Linked DNA regions of Oreochromis niloticus. The protein of the gene in region 2 purifies or fractionates together with the protein of the main gene of each other region. This does not show direct contact. Links are inferred from orthologs where the notes say so. Each region holds a gene or a part of one and is shown on either strand. Other genes may lie near its edges. The genes, in order: nudcd1 and dhx8.

The links.
Region 1: the proteins of dhx8 (region 2) and nudcd1 purify together in Homo sapiens (affinity purification with mass spectrometry; 3 studies listed by BioGRID and IntAct, counting the BioPlex papers as one, with this or other methods). This does not show direct contact. The link is inferred for Oreochromis niloticus from reciprocal best matches to the Homo sapiens genes DHX8 and NUDCD1.

The regions. Positions count from the first base shown.
Region 1 is NC_031985.2:12,075,334-12,084,637, reverse strand, and holds the start of nudcd1 (nudC domain-containing protein 1), read right to left. Parts: upstream 3,442-9,304; 5' UTR 3,308-3,441; coding exon 3,193-3,307; intron 2,052-3,192; coding exon 1,897-2,051; intron 1-1,896. Other genes in the region: transcription and mRNA export factor ENY2-2, read left to right, coding at 3,842-3,909, 4,013-4,083, 4,178-4,252, 5,008-5,084.
Region 2 is NC_031973.2:6,132,945-6,141,391, reverse strand, and holds the start of dhx8 (ATP-dependent RNA helicase DHX8), read right to left. Parts: upstream 3,458-8,447; 5' UTR 3,375-3,457; coding exon 3,266-3,374; intron 2,989-3,265; coding exon 2,903-2,988; intron 2,825-2,902; coding exon 2,752-2,824; intron 2,652-2,751; coding exon 2,560-2,651; intron 2,007-2,559; coding exon 1,900-2,006; intron 1,744-1,899; coding exon 1,372-1,743; intron 1,207-1,371; coding exon 1,062-1,206; intron 774-1,061; coding exon 567-773; intron 448-566; coding exon 360-447; intron 113-359; coding exon 15-112; intron 1-14.

The DNA.
Region 1 (9,304 bases), on a different chromosome or scaffold from region 2:
ATCACTGTAATTAGAATTTGAGCAACACTTTTCCATAAATTTCATTTAATGGTGCCACTGAAAGCCAGAAACACTGTCTCGCAGGATTACAGTGTGATGATCATCAAAGAAAAAAAACTCCAATGAGACACCAATTATGTCTAATTATGGTCAATGATGACTAAGACATAAAAGAAGGCTCGATTGAAAAGGTCATGAGAACGATTTTGCTCCTCATCTCAACATCTTGGTACGGGGTAACAATACCAATCAGAACCTTGAGTCAATTATATAATCGCTCCTGTGATTAACTGGAGACCTACAAGGGCTCATCCAAACTTTATGTGCTCGGGTGATTCATACGACAGACAAAAGACTGCACAGAAAGTTGTGTTTCAGACTAAATACTAAGAGCCACGTTTATTCTGACGTTTATTATTTTGCATCTTGACCAAGGAAAAAAAAGGTTAGAAATAATATTATATAATTTAACATAACTTTTAAAACTCTTGTGTTTCACAGACATCCTTTCTCTTCCCTCAACCTGCTGATGCTCAAGTGTTTGGTCACCACCTACTGGCACATCAGGCGCATAAAAATCCTTCATTGAATACACCATCACAACATCAGGCCCATAATATGAAACGTTATATAATGGTAACATAAAACAACACTGTAAAACAAAGAGCTCCTAAATTTGCCTAAAAACATTTGCAAAGACTCCAAACTTGTGATTTAGGAAACTCTCAGATTACGTAAATTCCCATGGTGAGAGTTAGATTTCAGGTTAAATCCATTTGCCATGATGGTAAATTTAATAATTGATCTAAATTATTATAATAAGTAAAATTGTTCAGATTCTATGATTTACTGCTATAATACGAGGGAGATCATCATGTCTGTGAACGCTCTAAGATGTGAAAAATAAAATAAACTGCTTCACAGCATGAGGCTGTGAAAGCTATCTGCGTGATTGCTCTGCTGATGAAGGTTGGGCAGACCCAACTTGCATTTTTCCAGCTCCAAAACACTTTAGTGATGATGATTTTGTCAATGCTGAGTTTATTATTAGATGTAACAGAATACTGACTACAGTCTTTACCCATGAAACATGTAACCTGCAGCTTTAATCACCTCACTGTTATTCTGAATTTGGAGCACAGACTAATGGCACTAATGTATGCACAAGACTGACCTGTGGCTTGTTTCTACAGCTGCCAAACCACTGTTATTATGCTGGCAAGTTAACTACCATTAGTCAGCTGTAATTAACCACACAGTGTAATGTTAGACTCTGTTTGTCTTAAGTGTTACATCAAATTGTATTCCTCTAACGCTTAAAAAGATAAATTAACCTTATTATGCAAAGCGCAAAGATTTTATTTAATCAACAGGGTGAAAAAAAAGTGGCAAAGCTTCTTCTTTCTGCCAGTTTCTCCTCTGCTTAAGGAACTCCTAAGTAAGTCCTTCTTTTCACTCCACACAGTTTTTTTTATCTTAGAAGCAAATGCTTTGTGAATAACTTTCACCTTTTCAAGATTTAGTTGTAACTTTAGCGAGAAATTCTTAGAAATTAAGAAAAATGTTGGCACTAGGAGCTAGTTTTATGAATATCAAAGATTTTTTATTAAGATCGGTGATTGCTCTCTTATGGTGTTTTCACCCTTGATGTTCTCTTCCAGATCACTTGATGACCTTACATACTTGTGTTTTTGTTTGTTTGGTGTCTTTTTGCATAGGAAAAACTGCAAGCACAATTACCATGTTCGTGTGTGGAACAATGTGCATCATCACATAGAAAATAGTGCAGGTGTGAAAACACCTTAGACATCAATGGAGGGGCAACAATCATAAACAGGCCGAGGAATATAGACTTCCAAAAATAACCCCAAAAAACAAGAGGATTTGCAAACTCACCAGAGTGACGGTGAGATTGAGGACCCGTCCTTTGCAGTCCACAAAGTAAACACTGTCCTCATACCAGGGGTCTAAATGCAGGTAATTATACATCCCAAAGGCACGCATATGTTCCAGGGTGTACTGAGTGTCCTTCAGCTTGACCTCCTCCACGGCTGCGGCAGATATGAAAAAGAAAAGATTAAATACGGCAGTAATCAAATTTCTGTTATTTATGTTGTTACTTAAAAAGCAGTTTACCCTTCTGCCTTTCCTACAGTTGCTTTGTGGAAAGTGTTACATATATCTTAACATATCTTAATATTTCAACATTTTACTCTAAGATGAACTATCGGTGACAAAAAACTGCAATTAACTATTTTTTACAGCTACTATTTGTCTGAATTGTTCCCACTAAATAAAGTATCGTGTTTTTTTTTTAAAGCACATTAATCACCTTGTAATATGCATGCCTGAATCTACTGTGAGTGGATGTCTGTGCAAAGTGTAAGCACCTTTTTATATCAGTAAGATTGTATCCAAACCAATGTTATAATGAATTCTCCTGTTAGGTACAAACTTCATAGATTGTTGATTTTCGACCCACACTAGCTGTTTTATAAACTGGATAAGAGACGTAGTAGAAAACACTTAGATGCAACTCTGGTGAGCTCAGCTGGCCTGAGTTTCGATTAAAAGGAATTAGCAAGCTTTGGTATATGATTATGCAAAATTTTAAAAATGCTGCTCTATTTCCATCCCTTATCGTTTTAATCACTAAAGTACATATCTGGATCAGCAGCCCCACTAATTTGGTATTGCTCAAACTGAAGTTAAGAGCTTGAAGTTAAAACATGTATTACAAAACTAACCTTATAACATCCCTATGATTGTTTTTAAGTTATTTAAGATTGGTGCACTTGACTTGTCCTGGCAATATAAATGAGTTATGTATGTGTATGAAGAACAAATTGTAGTAATTAGTCACTTCAGCGTTAATCTGTTAATTTTCAGTGGTTTAAACTATGCTAATGTTCAGATTTTTCTTAGTGATCGTGTGAAAGCTCATTAGGTTACAGTGGTGGACCTTAAGATCTCATTGTGAGCCACTGAGCTACAGATACAGCTGCCAAAATATTATGTAGCATCAACAGCTGACGTCGTGACGTAGTGACAGCCAATAAAATGTCTGAGATAATTTCAAATAACTTACATTGCTATTCCTATTTAGTGTTATACTGGACAGAAGTTATACTGGACCTTTCTCAGGGCTAGGCTAGCACACTTGCTAACTGCACTGCATTAAGTTTTTCTCACCAGCATCCAGCTCTATGTTGTACGTCGGTATGGCGTCCAAGGATAACCTGTAACTCTCAAAGTTTGGGTCCAACAGGTCTCTGTTGACCTTCAATGAGTAGTTAGACGCAGTCATGTCTTTTTCAATGAGACTGGCTTATTCACAAGTTGATGACAGCCTGTGTGCAGCAAGAGGAGGAGGGTGATGTGTAGCCAGCGTGATACACGTTTCCTGTGTTTTCGTCATTGTTTTCTCACACGGAGCTATTTTACGGCGGACAAAACCTCCCAGGGCGCAGGGGAAGTTGAGTCCTGAGCTAATCTCTCTTGAAATGCTTAAGTAACTGATTTAATTTAGTGTTTTCAGTTTAAATGTATTGTATTATATTTTTCGTCATTAAACAGGTATTTTGAACACTAATGAGACTATCATTGGTTATTCAGGTTGACGTTGAAAGATTAACCACTCCAAAGCCGGAACTTTTAAGCGTTAAACGTTTTTAGACGGTTCCGTTGTGTAAAGGGACCTTATGTTCCCCAGCTGATCCTTCTCGATAACGGTAGCGGCTACCTGATAGGGAGCTAAATTAGACATTATAATATATGTTTTTATTATACTCTTGCGTCCAAGCTGACTGTGTCGGTGTGTGTGTTTAATTTCAGGCGGATCATGAGCAAAGATTCCCAGATGAGGGCTGCAATAAACCAGAAGCTGATAGAGATGGGGGAACGGGAGCGGTAAGCGAGTCTTTCACTGCAGTGATTTGGTGCTGGATGGTTTGGCGTGGTTTTGAATTGCACATATTAAGTCACATAATGTGAATTAAATGTGTGGCCGCAGGTTGAAAGAGTTGCTCAGAGCGAAGCTGGTGGAGTGTGGGTGGAAGGATCAGCTGAAAGCACACTGCAAAGGTATTTGACTTGTGCTTATGTTAGTGTCCGGCGATGATGTCGTGGTGCTATAAAAACAAAAGTCACTAAAGTCATTACCTCCCGTTTGAGCCAGATGTGATCAGAGAAAAGGGCCTGGAGCATGTCACAGTGGAGGACCTGGTCACAGAGGTCACACCAAAAGGCAGAGGTACAGTACAGATGTTCAAACACAACAGCAGGGGGAGGAAGACTGTTAGAAGTGATGAGCATACTCATTTGCTTCGTTGATTTAGATGTACAAGTCAATTTATTTATTTAGCACTGCACATCATCTTTATCCCTAATACATCTTTGTGCATGCTAACTAACAAACTGCTAATGTTGTAGGTCAGCACTACTTATTGATTACAGCTCTTACGATTTCAGGTTTCCCTGATATACAGTCTTGAACCACCCCTCACTTCTTTATATTTTTCTTCCAAGGAGCCAGATGCTGTATTTTCTCTAAACTGTTTTAAACTGGTCTTCAGTAGTAGTTCTTCAGACCTTCTGAAGGTCTTTCAGAGTTTTTCTTTGGACATTTACTGCCCATTTGAAGAACACTTTCAGATGCCTCAGTCATTTTAAATGAGCTTTAGCCTAGAGAAGATGGCAGTGTTTCTGGATCATTTTCCATTATTCGTGCATATTGGATATTGGATATTAACCATTATTCGTGCATGGCATGGTGATTTCTGGAAATGTTTCTGAGCTTCGTAGGAAGTTGTAGAGGGAGCTGGTGCCTCTTAAAAGTCATATTTTATCTACCAGGCCAACATTATAACATACATAGAAAAAATATTAGAAACAGCTGACAGGATGACAACTTCTGACAATAAAAGTATCGTGTTGTGTGAGTATGTAAGTTTCTATTCTGTGTTCTGACTTAATCTCTCTTCATCTCTTCATCTCTTTCCTCTGCAGCACTCGTACCAGACAGTGTGAAGAAAGAACTCCTCCAGAGAATCAGAGCTTTTTTAGCTCAACATGCAACCTTGTGAATGACACAATTCCCTTTTTTGTTTGTTTGTTTGTTTTTACTCACTGTTGATCCACGAGTGAAATCCAAACTGTTGTTTATTGTGTTCATTTTAGTGCTAATTTTATTTTGTATTGTGTGTTTTCATATTGATTTTTAGTTTATGCTGCAGTTTTGGAGAAGAAAAATAAAGTCATGCCTATTTTGGTCATTCTTGTTGTAATTGCTACCTGTCTGGTTGATCCAAACCCAAAAGTGCAGACAGATTAAGTCTTAGTGAAAAAGGCAGTGGACACCCTCGACAGGTCCCCAGTCTGTCGCCCATGTCGAAAAACCAAAAACTTATAATTGCATCTCAAACTTTGAATTATTTACAGTTGTTGAGAAAATACACCCAGAAGTAATAATGTTGATTGGCAGTAGGTTTTACGGATCAGGAGTTAATAAAAAATGATCTGGTCTTAAACATGTCTTGAAATTAGATAAATATTATCTCAGATAAATAACAAAACAAAACTTGCTGCACAAAATACAAAAAGAGTGTGTGAAAAAAAGTACATCATTACTGCCTCCATAGGAATTAAGAGGCTAAGTAGCTGCTAATCAAATGCACTTGAATAGCTGATCATCAGCAAGTGTGAGCACCTCTATAAAAGTAGAAGTTTTGGCAGTTCCCTGCTCTGGAGCTTTCCGGTGTGTTAATGCAGTGCCAAGGTGGAAGGACATCAGCAATGATCTCGAAGAGCACTTGTTTCTGCCCATCAGTCTTGGAAGTTTGTAAAGGATATTTCTAAATAATTTGAAGCTCATCATTCTACAGTGAGAAAGATTAGTCAGTCACAAGTGGAAAACACGTAATGGAGACATCCCAGCAAATTTTGATATAAAACTTTGATATATGAGCTACATCTCAGACTCTACAGGCCTCATTTAGCTTGTTAAATGTTAAATTCTCAATTCTGCTGTTCATACTGCCGTAGTGCAGGCAAAATGAAAGGGTGTTTGTTCAGGGTCTTAAAAATATTAGAACACACACAAACATCATGCAACCACCCTGCCCTGCACAATCAGACACACATGCATCCCAGACGCATCACTGTAAAATAGTCTCTTTAAAAGAAAAAAAAGATAACTATATAAATAAAGAACTGAGTAAGAAAGATAACTAATTAAAACTAATTCTAAAGACTCCTGGGTATGATAGTGTACATAACCAAATCAACAGTTCAGCATTCTAACAGCTTGTGGGAGGAAGCTGTTGGAGGCTTTTATAACCGTTTGCCTGATGGCAACAGTTCAAAGAATTGAGGGGGGGTGAGGGGTCCTTTATGATTTTCAGTGCCCTGCTCCTGCTGTGGCTCTTGAAAAGGTCTTAGACAGAGGGGAGGGAAACTCCAAGGGCCTTCTGAGCTGCTCTAACTATCCTCTGCAGTGCTGTTTTGTCTGACATACTGCAGCTGGAACACCACGCTGATATACCGTAGAACATGCCTCTGTAAAAAGTCCTGAGGATGCTGGAGGGGACAGAGGCTTGTTTCATTCAGTCCCTGCTGGGCCCATTTTGTGATCACTGAGATGCTCTTGTCCCAGCTCAGGTCCTTCGAGATCTGAACATCCAAGAACCTGATGTCTTCCACTCTCTGGGCAGTCGCTGATACTGAGAGGAGTGTGCTGGATCTGTATCTTCCGGCCTGAGAACAAATCCTTGAGGAGATCCAGCGCTCAGCGTGGTGGGTTTGGAGATCTTTCTCCCAAGACATGTGTGGTGTTCAGCCCCAGTAAGTGGAGTTTCTCTAGTAGTCTCTGTGGAATGATGGTGTTAAACACTGAGCTAAAATCAATAGGAGTATGGCATATGTCCAGATGGGTGATGGCTGAGTGCAAGGTGGTGGTTAATGCATCCTCTGTGGAGTGGTTAGGATGATAAGCAAACTGGAGCAGGTCAATTAATGCAGGAAGGGTGGCTGTGATGTGTGGTTTGATAAGCTGTTCAAAACACTTCATCACAATTGTTGTCAATGTGACGGACCCGTAGCCATTTAGACAAGATAAAACTGGTTTCTTTGCTATTGGCACTATGGTGGATGTTTTGAAGCATCTGGGTACGGTGGCCTGACTGAGGGAGATGTTAAAAATATCATTTAGGACATCTGCCAGCTCACCAGTGCAGTCTCTGAGCACATGTCCTGGGATGTTATCTGGACCTGCAGCTTTCCGTGGGTTGACCCTGGCCAGGGTCCTCTGGTATCTGCTGCACTTATGATAACAGCTGGCCCTGCAGATAATGGAGAACCCACTTTCCCTCTGTATGTTCAGTTTGATGCCTGGAAGCATGCAAAGAAGTTATTAAACCTGTCCGGAAAAGAAGTGTCATCTTTGTTGACCCCTTGCATGGGTTTGGAATTCATCAGTGCCTGTACTCCCTGCCACGTTCGTCTGGTGTTTCCTGTCTCGCAGAGGTGTCCCTCGCAGACCTGGCCACACGGAGAGCAGTCTCATCCTCCACCAGGGTCTCTGGTTGCCACGTGCAGTGAAGGTCTTAACTACAGTGACATCCTCTTAGCAATGTAGCTGTTTACTGCCTCTGCGTACTCCACATTGTTTATCTGGTCTCCCTGCGAGGCTGCTGTCTTGAACACCCCCCACCCGGTGTTCCTAAAGCAGTTTTTAGTGCTGAGGCTGTGCTGAGGCTGCATCCTCTGGCCAGATCCTGGTCTGTTTTCTCACTGGTCTGCTGCGCTTCAGGAATGGTTTGTAAGCAGGCTCAGGCGTAACAGAAAGGTGATCAGAGTGGGTGAGGTGGGGGTGGGGGTTTGATTATAAGTCCAGCATGTTCATACCTCTGCTTGAACTTAGGGAGCAGTCTTTAAACTGCTGTTGTTAAAATCCCCTGCAATCACAACAAAGCTGTACAGGTGTACATGGAGAATACCTGTGTTGAAGAACAACGTCACGTCATTGCTCAAAGACAATTTGGTAACAATCTGGAAGAGGTTTGTTACTTTACATTTCTTTTAAATACCTTGAAGGTGTTTTGTTGGATTTAAGTCAGGTGAAATAGTTGAAACAACTTGTTTTTTTGTTCTTGAAACACTCGTGTGATTTTTGACAATGTGCTTTGGATGATTATCATGCTGAAATATTTCTCTGATGTCAGGCATCTGAAGGTAAACAGCGGTTTGGCATTCGTGATTCCATCTGTAAAGTCATGAGGACACCCTTCGAATCATTTCATATTTATGAATATTACACCCACTTTGGTGAATTTAATTAGGCAATCTTTCTATGCATTGTTTGGATTTTTTTAAATAGACATAGTCTAAAGGAAAAAGGGTCACCAAGAGACTGGTCTGTAATCTGTCAGTGAACTATGTTTGACATTATTTATTATTATTATTATTATTTACTGTTTGCCAGTTTTAGATCTGTTTTCTTTTTATGGTTCCAGGCACAAATTAGTTGAAGAGGAAATCTGCAATTAATATAAGGTTGCAAGCATCACAAGGAGTTTTATTTATCATTGTTATGATCACAGACAGTTTTACAAACACTCAAAGACTGAAAGGGCTAATGTGAAGCACTACTGTACGATGTGTTTTATAAATGAAACGTGGACAGAATAACATGAAGACCACTTCAAGAGCACATTGTGCACAGCGAAAATGATTGCACTTTAATGCAAATTTAATCCAGCAGTCATGAAACGGTGGTGTGAAAAAGTCAAAGGCTACACAAAGGCCATATTTACTGAAACTCAACAAATGCAAAACGTGTATAACTTTGCAAACTTTAGCTTTTTATAGCTCCACTTCTTTCTCCACATTTTCATAGATCATTACGCTCCGTGTTCATGGAGCCATTATTTATCACGCTTTTGACTCACTTTCGTTTTGTTTTTAAATGCAGACATCTTGAAAATCTGATAAATGCGGCAAAATGTTCTTCCAGTCTCCTCCCAGTTTCAGGTGAGGGGCGGGACCCTGAGCACGTTATAAAAAGGTAGTGCGCGTCCCTGAACTCACACTGTTTCCCAGTCAAGAGGTTAAAAAGGGTTTCTCACTGCTGGTGAGTTTTGTTCACATAAATGTCACACTGGAAAATGGAAAATACAATTTTTAAAAATAATATTTTTTAAAATAATTGTATATTTTAGTACATAAATTTATTCTATGGCTGTCAATAAATGTCAATAATACTTTTGTTTTAAATAGTACTTTTGTGTCACGTGATTCACAATTGGTC
Region 2 (8,447 bases):
ACTTCTACTGTTACCTTGACAATCTTGACTGGGCTCATGTCCATGCTTTGCTTTGTGTGGCCTCTCAGAAACGGTGGTTCCTCTTCAACCAGCTCAATTTCCAAGTCTTCATCTGTATGAAATGAAACCAACCAGTTAGGAATCAGGTCACACTTAGTCATGGTTCACATGAACAAGAGCAAATACACGATTTAAATATTCAAGAAGAACAAAATAAAACAGTCATCAAGTATTTAAATAAATTCAGTATTTTAGCATGAAGTATAAATATTTAATACTATCTTGTATATAAGTGCTTTTACTAGCATGAATTACTCATTTATTAAAGCAGTTCAGTCATAGACAAAACAATTTCTTACCCTCTTCATCATCAACTTTAGGAAGGATGCCTGTCTCATCATCAAAATCAGGAAATTCTTCTTTGGACAAAACATTGGCAGCAATCATCTGAGGAAATTTACACAACGAGAGCATTTTTTTCTTTTCTTTTTTCAACAAACACCTTTTAAAATTAGATAGATGCACAGACGTAAACGAAGCTTCAGCCACTTCAAATGTGAACCCACCTGTTTGATCTCCCACTTCTCTGGGTCTGAGATTTTGGTGAGCCTCTTGCGCTCCAGTGTGTCATCCTGTTCCAGCTCCGGCGCGTGGCCGAGGTTCAGGTTGCTCGGCCGATCAGGATTCCTCATGGAGATCTCCTCTCCTCCGTCGGGGCCGACGTTCCTCCTCCTGTTGGGGTTCAGGTCTTCTCCCGTCTCCTGGTCTACATCCTGGCAAAGGAGGAAATAAAAACGTTTCATTATCTGTACCCGGAGCTGAGATACAACGGCTGAAAAATCTCAAGGAAAACATGAAATTCATCAGAATGAATAAATATATACTTTTATGACACAATAAATGTAAAACTAATTAAGCACAAATTATTTGATCAAAATCTTATTTCTTCAGACAGGATCAGAAGGAAGACATCTGAAAACTTCCTTCACTTTAACACAGTACATACTTTATTAAAATCAACTGATAAACACACTGTTATGTGCGTTTGTTTTTTTTTTTACCTTCATACTGAGGCTGGTCTTGGACCCTGTGAATGAGAGCACCTTGACTTTGACTCTTTGGCCTTTGCTAACAACGTCGGCCACGTTGGCCACACGGCCCTCCCTGCGCAGCTCAGAAATGTGGACCAGACCCTCCCATCGCTTCCTAGAAATTGAGAAGATGATCATGGACAACTTTAACAATGAAATAAGAGACAGGACAAAAGAGGAGATATCTCTAAATGGTATGCACTGAAAACATCTTTGGTAACCAGCAGGCCCCTTTAAAACTGAAGGTATATTTATACAATGTTTGCAACCTTATACTAACCTGAGTCCCTCAAGTTGAACAAAGCATCCAAACTGCATGATGCTGGTAACCTTTCCATTGTAGATATCACCAACAGAAGGCTCCTCAGGTGGAGGGCGATCCACATGTTTGTCCCTCCAGCGGTCAGACTCTCTCTCTTGGTCTTTTCTCGGACTAGGTGAGCGCTCAGACCAGCGGGAAGATTTGTCTCTTCTCTTGCCACGGTCTCTATCTCTATCTCTATGCCGATCACGGTCTCTGGAGCGTGACCTGGATCTGGAATAGGATCGGGAACGATGCCGTCTCTTTCGGTCCTTTTCCCGATCTCTGTCTCGATCTCTGTGTCTGTCTTTTTCTCTGCTTCTGCTGCGACTTCGCCTGTTTTTTTCTGATCTACGAGAGGAGAAGAGTCAGAAATACATAAAAATAAACAACAATAATATCCTGAATTCAAACAGCCGTCGCAAGTTTGCTAGTTGGAGCACAGGTGTCAGAGATTTAAATAAACCCAACATGACAATGAAATGTGACCAGTGACTTGAGTCTTACCTGTTCTTGCTCCCTTTGGAGTCTGTCCCGCTGACACTGGGCATGAACATTTCCAGTTCCTTCATGGCATCAGCTGCTACTTTTACATCATCTTCATCCAGCAGAGCCTACAAAGTTCAGTATAACAAAAATCAGTCAACATAAATTGGTCAACATTTCTATTTAGTGTTTGTTTTTTCTTTTATTTACCCACTTTTTAACCCCACATAGGACACTAGCTGAATAAATTAAAAACCTGATGAGATTGTGAGTGCTTCAAAGCAACGTATGTTAGACATGGGAGGATGAAAAATGCCCTTTATTTACTTACAATTACAAATCCTGTTGTCTACAAGCATCAATAAAACATTTGGTATTTTGTGTATATATTGTCAGAAATCTTATTGCAAACTTTCTTGAAATATTGTAATTTTGAGGCTGCATCGCCCACCTGTACTGCCAACACCACCCCTTTCATGTAAACACAAAGAGGAAAATCCTGGGTTCACTTATCAAAATGATAACCAGCTTAGTGACACCGCTTAGCCTGATTGCCAACAGAAAGACACCCTGTGTGTGTTTAGATCGTTTCTTTGTACAGGGCCCAAGTGTACAAGCTTGTTTTGCAATAAAGATAATGGGGACACTGCGGCTTCATGACAGTGTGATAAAGCCACATACCTTCGGTGCCGGCTCATTTGGTCTACACAGTGCAGGAAACAGCTCCCTCAGCTTTTCCTTTTCTGACTTCGGCTTAGCCACGGACTCGGATGCTGGAAGAGGAGTACACGATTAGAAATGTCACTTTTAAGGAGTAAAATATGTCCTTGGGACGATTAGCTGCCCAGTTTACAGCTAGCCTAACTACTTTACCTTTACTTGTAGATGCTTTGGATGGAGGTCGCATCGTCTGAATGAGCCTGAGCAGATTACTGATGAGAGAATCCTACAATAAGCGAAGAAAAAGTTAATGTTTAGTTGAATAACAATGAGCTTCACGAACAACTCGTAGGGATTAACTTACTGTGAATTCGGCTCCATTTTCGAGTAAAAGTGCTTTGAATCCATCAAAGCTCTGTTGTTTTTCGGCAAGGCTGATGACAAATTCAGCTGTAAAGGAACCACAAACAACAAATTAACGAGGAACTAGATGAGACTCATAACTGTCGAAGTTTATATCCCAGCATTAAAAGTGACCTACAACGAATTTTGTGAAGGATTAGTATGTAATTTTTTTTCTAAATCTACTAAACGACACAATAAATCCAAAAAGAACTCATATGTTGACAGTTAATACAGATGCTAGTTTGCTAACAACTACTAGTTAGCATAAGCTAGCTAGCTAGTTTTGGCGAATGGCGATTTTTCAAAGGCATAAAATACGTACCTAAATCTTTGTCATTTATTCCCAGATGGTTGTCAAGCTCCGTGCAGACTTTCGACACTAAAGACAGATATTCGAGCTGCGATAGCTCGTCGACTCCGATGTCTGCCATCGTCCACGAGTTGTTTTTGTTCACACAACGTAGACGCCGGCAGACATATTGGATATGGGCAACATCCCCTTCCGCCCTTTACGGAAACACTTAGTAGAGTTCAAGGTCTGGCTCCTACTTGCCACACGATGGCACTCAAGACCCTCACAATAAATTTTTAGAATTGAAACGTCTCCACCACAGATGTCTTCACATGTGGGGTTTTCATTTCATGTCGTTTGCAAGAGGTTTGCCAGTTCTTAGCACATATGCTTTTCTCCTTATTTTGTCTTCTGTGCTTGTTTTATAAACTGTATATGGTTTATTCGTGCAAATGTTTAATACATTCTTTTTTTGCCACAATATAGATGATAAATTGACTTTTTTCATGTTTTATGTTCTTCTCAAGTGGCCAGGGATGAAAAAATAAGCCGGCCCCTCTTATGTTCGCTTGAGGTTGCTCTGAAAGCAAGTTAATCCCCATAGACTCCCTTATTAAAGCATCTAAACTTCACTTCATTAAAAAAAGCATGTTTAGAACCTAACACCATAAATGAATTTGGTAAGTAATAAGTTGGGTGTGGCTGTTTTGACTGACAGGTGTGCTGACACAGGGAGCTGTAGCTGACAATTGTCTTCTGTGCTTCACCCCCAGTAATCTGAAGCACTGAAGTAAACCTTTCACCAGTGGACCTTTCTCTATGTTGTGAACTTCTTTCAGCCCATTTTAGTGCAAATATGCCAAGAATCTGGTACATCATTTTGGTGAGTGAAATTCTAGTATATAGCTGTTCTTTGCACCCATAAAGTGAATGAATACAGCATGATAACAGGTAAATATATACACATCTGGCTACAAATATCAACATAAAAATGGGCAAAATGCTAAAGATGAGGCTTTGAAATGCAGATCCAAAAACCAGTGGGTGATGTTATGATGATGAGCCATAGCTTCATCGATGATCAAGCTATGGCCCATGGGATGCATTTCAAAACGTAAATGTCTGTTGTTGCCTTGTTGCATAAAAAAACGTTGCAGTGCAATGAATAATTAATTGCCACTGATGAGTGCAGGGGATTGGAAATGATAAAAGAAAACCTCAACCCTGCTACTAATGGTATGTGGACAGGTATAGTTGCTGTCTTGACTTTTATGGTTTTGGCCAGAGAATGTAAAGACAGTCCTCTGTTTCAGCACGTCATGCACATACACAGTCCATTAAGATAAGGTTTTTTATGCTTAAGTAGCAAGCAGCCCTTACCTCATCCCCATCCAACACATTTGCATGAAATTGCAAATGCTTGTGGGAACTACTCTCTGCAGTTAGGTCTTCACACAAGAGCAGAGGCCGGTAGAAAATGAATGACCAGTGATTTGCCATGAAATGTTCAGCAACCGCACATATGAAAATTTAAAGATTACCCACATATTTTTCATACAGTTTATGCTGAACTGTGTGTACGGGTCATGAGAAGCAAAGTGTTTTGCAACAGCAAAAATTCAGTTTCTAGTAATGAATCATGCTGTGCAATCGTGAACGTTTAAAGCAGTTTCACGCTATGACTTTACTTCTGTTTTTGTTTCTGCCACTGTTGCTGATTCATAGTTCTTCACCCACTAACTGTTTTATCTCTTGTGGAGTCTTGAGAACGTTTCAATGAGGTAAAGGTGCAAGGAAAATCATGACTGTATGTTGTATCACCTGCATCTTAACTTACTACAAAAAGCTATGTTTATATGATAAATTCTGGTATGCACTGCACAGGAGACATCCTTCCTCGTCTACTCCTTGGATACCTCCCAGCTTTGATCTCATGACTGATAAATTGCCTTCACTGTTATAGCGCTTTTAAACCTCAACTTTGCTCTGCAGAGCCCTTTGTTTTTCATTCACACACACATATGCACCCCAAAGGGGGCAGAGCTCCCATGTAAGCTGCTCGTTTACCATTGGGAAAAACCCAGAGCTCTGAGTTTTAACCAAGGACACTTCGGCACAGGGTGGGACCAGAGATCGAACCGCTAACCCTGCGATTAATGGACACCCCACCCATCTTATGAACCCTAGTGCATGTTCACACACACACACACACACCACCATCTGTCTGTTTACACATTTCCCTCAGTTGGTGTCTAGTTGGCTCCCTCCTCACAAGCCTCCTGCCTGTAATCTCCTTATTAAAATCAATCCTCATTACCCATCCATAAACACACTACTTATTTCACACACCAGTTTAATCCTGATTAAGAGCCTTGTTTTCACATAACATCCACATAACTTCTGACATTTTATCATTTTTGAAAAGAACATTATGTCCCCATGTGTTTTGCTGTGTTAGACGAGTCCTGAATTTCACTCATGTTTAATCTTTTTTTTTCTTTTTACTTCAATTGACATTTCTGCCATCACATCCTTCCATTTGTTCCTGTGGTATGACTTAGCCAGAAAGGGATTCTCATGGAGAATCTCCCATTGCAGCAGACTGCTTTCCTAATAAATCCCTCATGATCTTTTGCAAGTCAGTTTCTCCCACTCTCACATTGTTCAAAATGCAATCTGGAATTTATTTCACTGTTTATCTCTCTGGTACTGTCTATGCTGCCAAAAGTTCAAAGCATGTACACAGTGCGCCCAGAAATGTGTGGACACCTGAACATTACACCCATATGTGATTGTAAAAGATCTCATTCCAAAGGTATGGGCATTAATCTACTGGAACAATGGCCTCCAATCTTCAGGGATTTGCTCAGATTCTGCCACAAGAGTATTAGCGAGGTTGAGCACCATGGCTGGGTGATAAAGTCTCACTAACACTTGGTGCTCTGATTCATCCCAAGGCTTCTGAATAGAGATGAGGTCAGAAAATCTGCATCTGGCTTTGCATGCTATGATATTGTCATGTTAAAACATGCAGTTGGCACTTCTAACGAGCCCCTTACTTCACTTAAAGCATACAAATACTATTACCCAAAAAATGAAGCTAATGGGTATGTTCAGTAAGGAACACCAGTAATCACGCGTCTGTGTGGTATCCTGGGTGTTCAGGCTACAACTCTATTCTTTACATTGCTTCTTCTTTCACACGCTGTCAAACTCAATACTGACACCATGTCTTGGTGCATGCTTAATCATCCAGGTAAGGAAATCTGAGAAAGATGATTTTGTTCATCTAGACATAGTTTTTTCATTTCATCTTCTCACACTGAAAATGTTATGTCCAGATGGACAGAATCAACTTTAATGGGATCAGCAATGGCACCGTTACTCTAGACCAGTCCTTTTCTTGCCCATCTTCTGTGAGCCAATAAGCCTCTTTCGTGTGCGCTTCAGTAATCTCAATACTCTTCTGTCATTCTGCTTTTAAGAGTACCATTCATGCATCCCTTTTTCCCATTTCCACCTCTCCCTGGTCATTCAGAGCCTCATCCAAGCCTACACCTTCATCTTTACCACCACTAACATCTGGACTCTAGAGGTATCCTTTCCAAATTACAATCATCGCTGGGACTCAGAACTCATCTCACTTAATTGAACTTCATATAAAAGACGGGTGTACTTTCCAAATCTAAAAAATGAAGTCAGTGTGATAGTGCCTTAAATGGTCACTCTTTCTATTGACCACTCCAGTCGCAATGACATTTCAGGTTGTGTAGAAGTTTATAGAAAATTGGCACTTGTCTCCCATAAGACTATGGGCTTAGTGCTGATGTAAGTTCTACTGAATATAACAAAGATGGTCCCCATTACTGAAATGTGGAGATATACTTTACTGTGTTCTTGCTCCTCATGCAGATCTGCACCACACTCACCAACAATGCTGACAGCAAAAATAAAAGTCCGCTTAGGGCTTTATTAATGAACTTCACTAATTGGGAACTTCACAGTGACTACACCCATCTTTTATACAGTTTATGCTGTTGCTATTTAAAGCTTGTTAGCTAACACAGTGTCTCTTGTTTGTTTAATCTAAATACACAGACGACAGTATATGTTTTCAGGGCAAGTTAAGTGCTGTAACTATTTCTTAGTGAATAGATGCAGTGACTCTCTGGAATCTTGTTACAATCAACAAATAGATGTTTTTTCTCCAAGGGCACTTAGCGACTAACTAACTATTGTTTGTTAGTGTTTTTAGATGCTTTAAGGAGAGATGAACTAGCTGTTTCCAAAATGTTTTACAGCTCTGTCAGATGAATTTCTTCATGCCAAAAGATTTTTGGTATAGCAATGAGTAAATCCCCCATCAATGATGCCCTGCTTATCAGAGACAGCAGCCTAACCAAGATCTAATCTCTCCAGCGTGTCCTGGGGCATCCTTCCAATAGAACATGCCCAGAACCCCATAGGCTAAGGCCCAGCCATCAGGCGCTCTCCCTCAAGCTACCTCCCCAGGCCTGGCTCCAGAGTGGTGCCCTGGTAACCCTATACTGGGCAGGATAAACTGGTCCCATGATTTTTTCTTTTTCATGGGAGTCCTCTAAATCACTCTTTGTCTGGTCCCTCACCAGGCCAGTTTGCCTCAGGAAACACTGTCAGGGGCAAAAGGCAACATAGCCCCTAGGATCATTGGGACACAAACCCTGTACTGTGTTAAGGGAACTCTTACTCCATATCTACCAAAACACACAAGACTGTCCTGCAAGCTTATGTTGCACTGTTGTATATACTGCATGCCATGGATTCTGTTCCATGACCAAGAGCATAAACAGTATACTATAAAAGCTACTTTTGGCTGCTCTGTTGTCAAAACAGTTAGTAGTCCCACATAGTTTGACTTCAGAGAGCTTTATGCCAGATGCCTTTCCTCTGACACAACCCTAAAGGGATTTGTGTCTCCAGCTGGAATTAAACCACCAACCTTTCATTTGTAAAGCAAATATCTTAACCACTAGACTATGGAGCAACCATATATAGTGTCTTATGTACTTGAGTATTGGTACAACGACATAAAAGCTGACTCCGGTAAAGTCCAGACAGTCACTGGTGGTCTCTTGTCTTGAAACTGAGAAAAGTTTAACTTGGGACTTCCCCATTTTGCATCACGAACAGTTATTTCACCTGCTGACTTGAAGTTGCTGAATTCCATTGACTT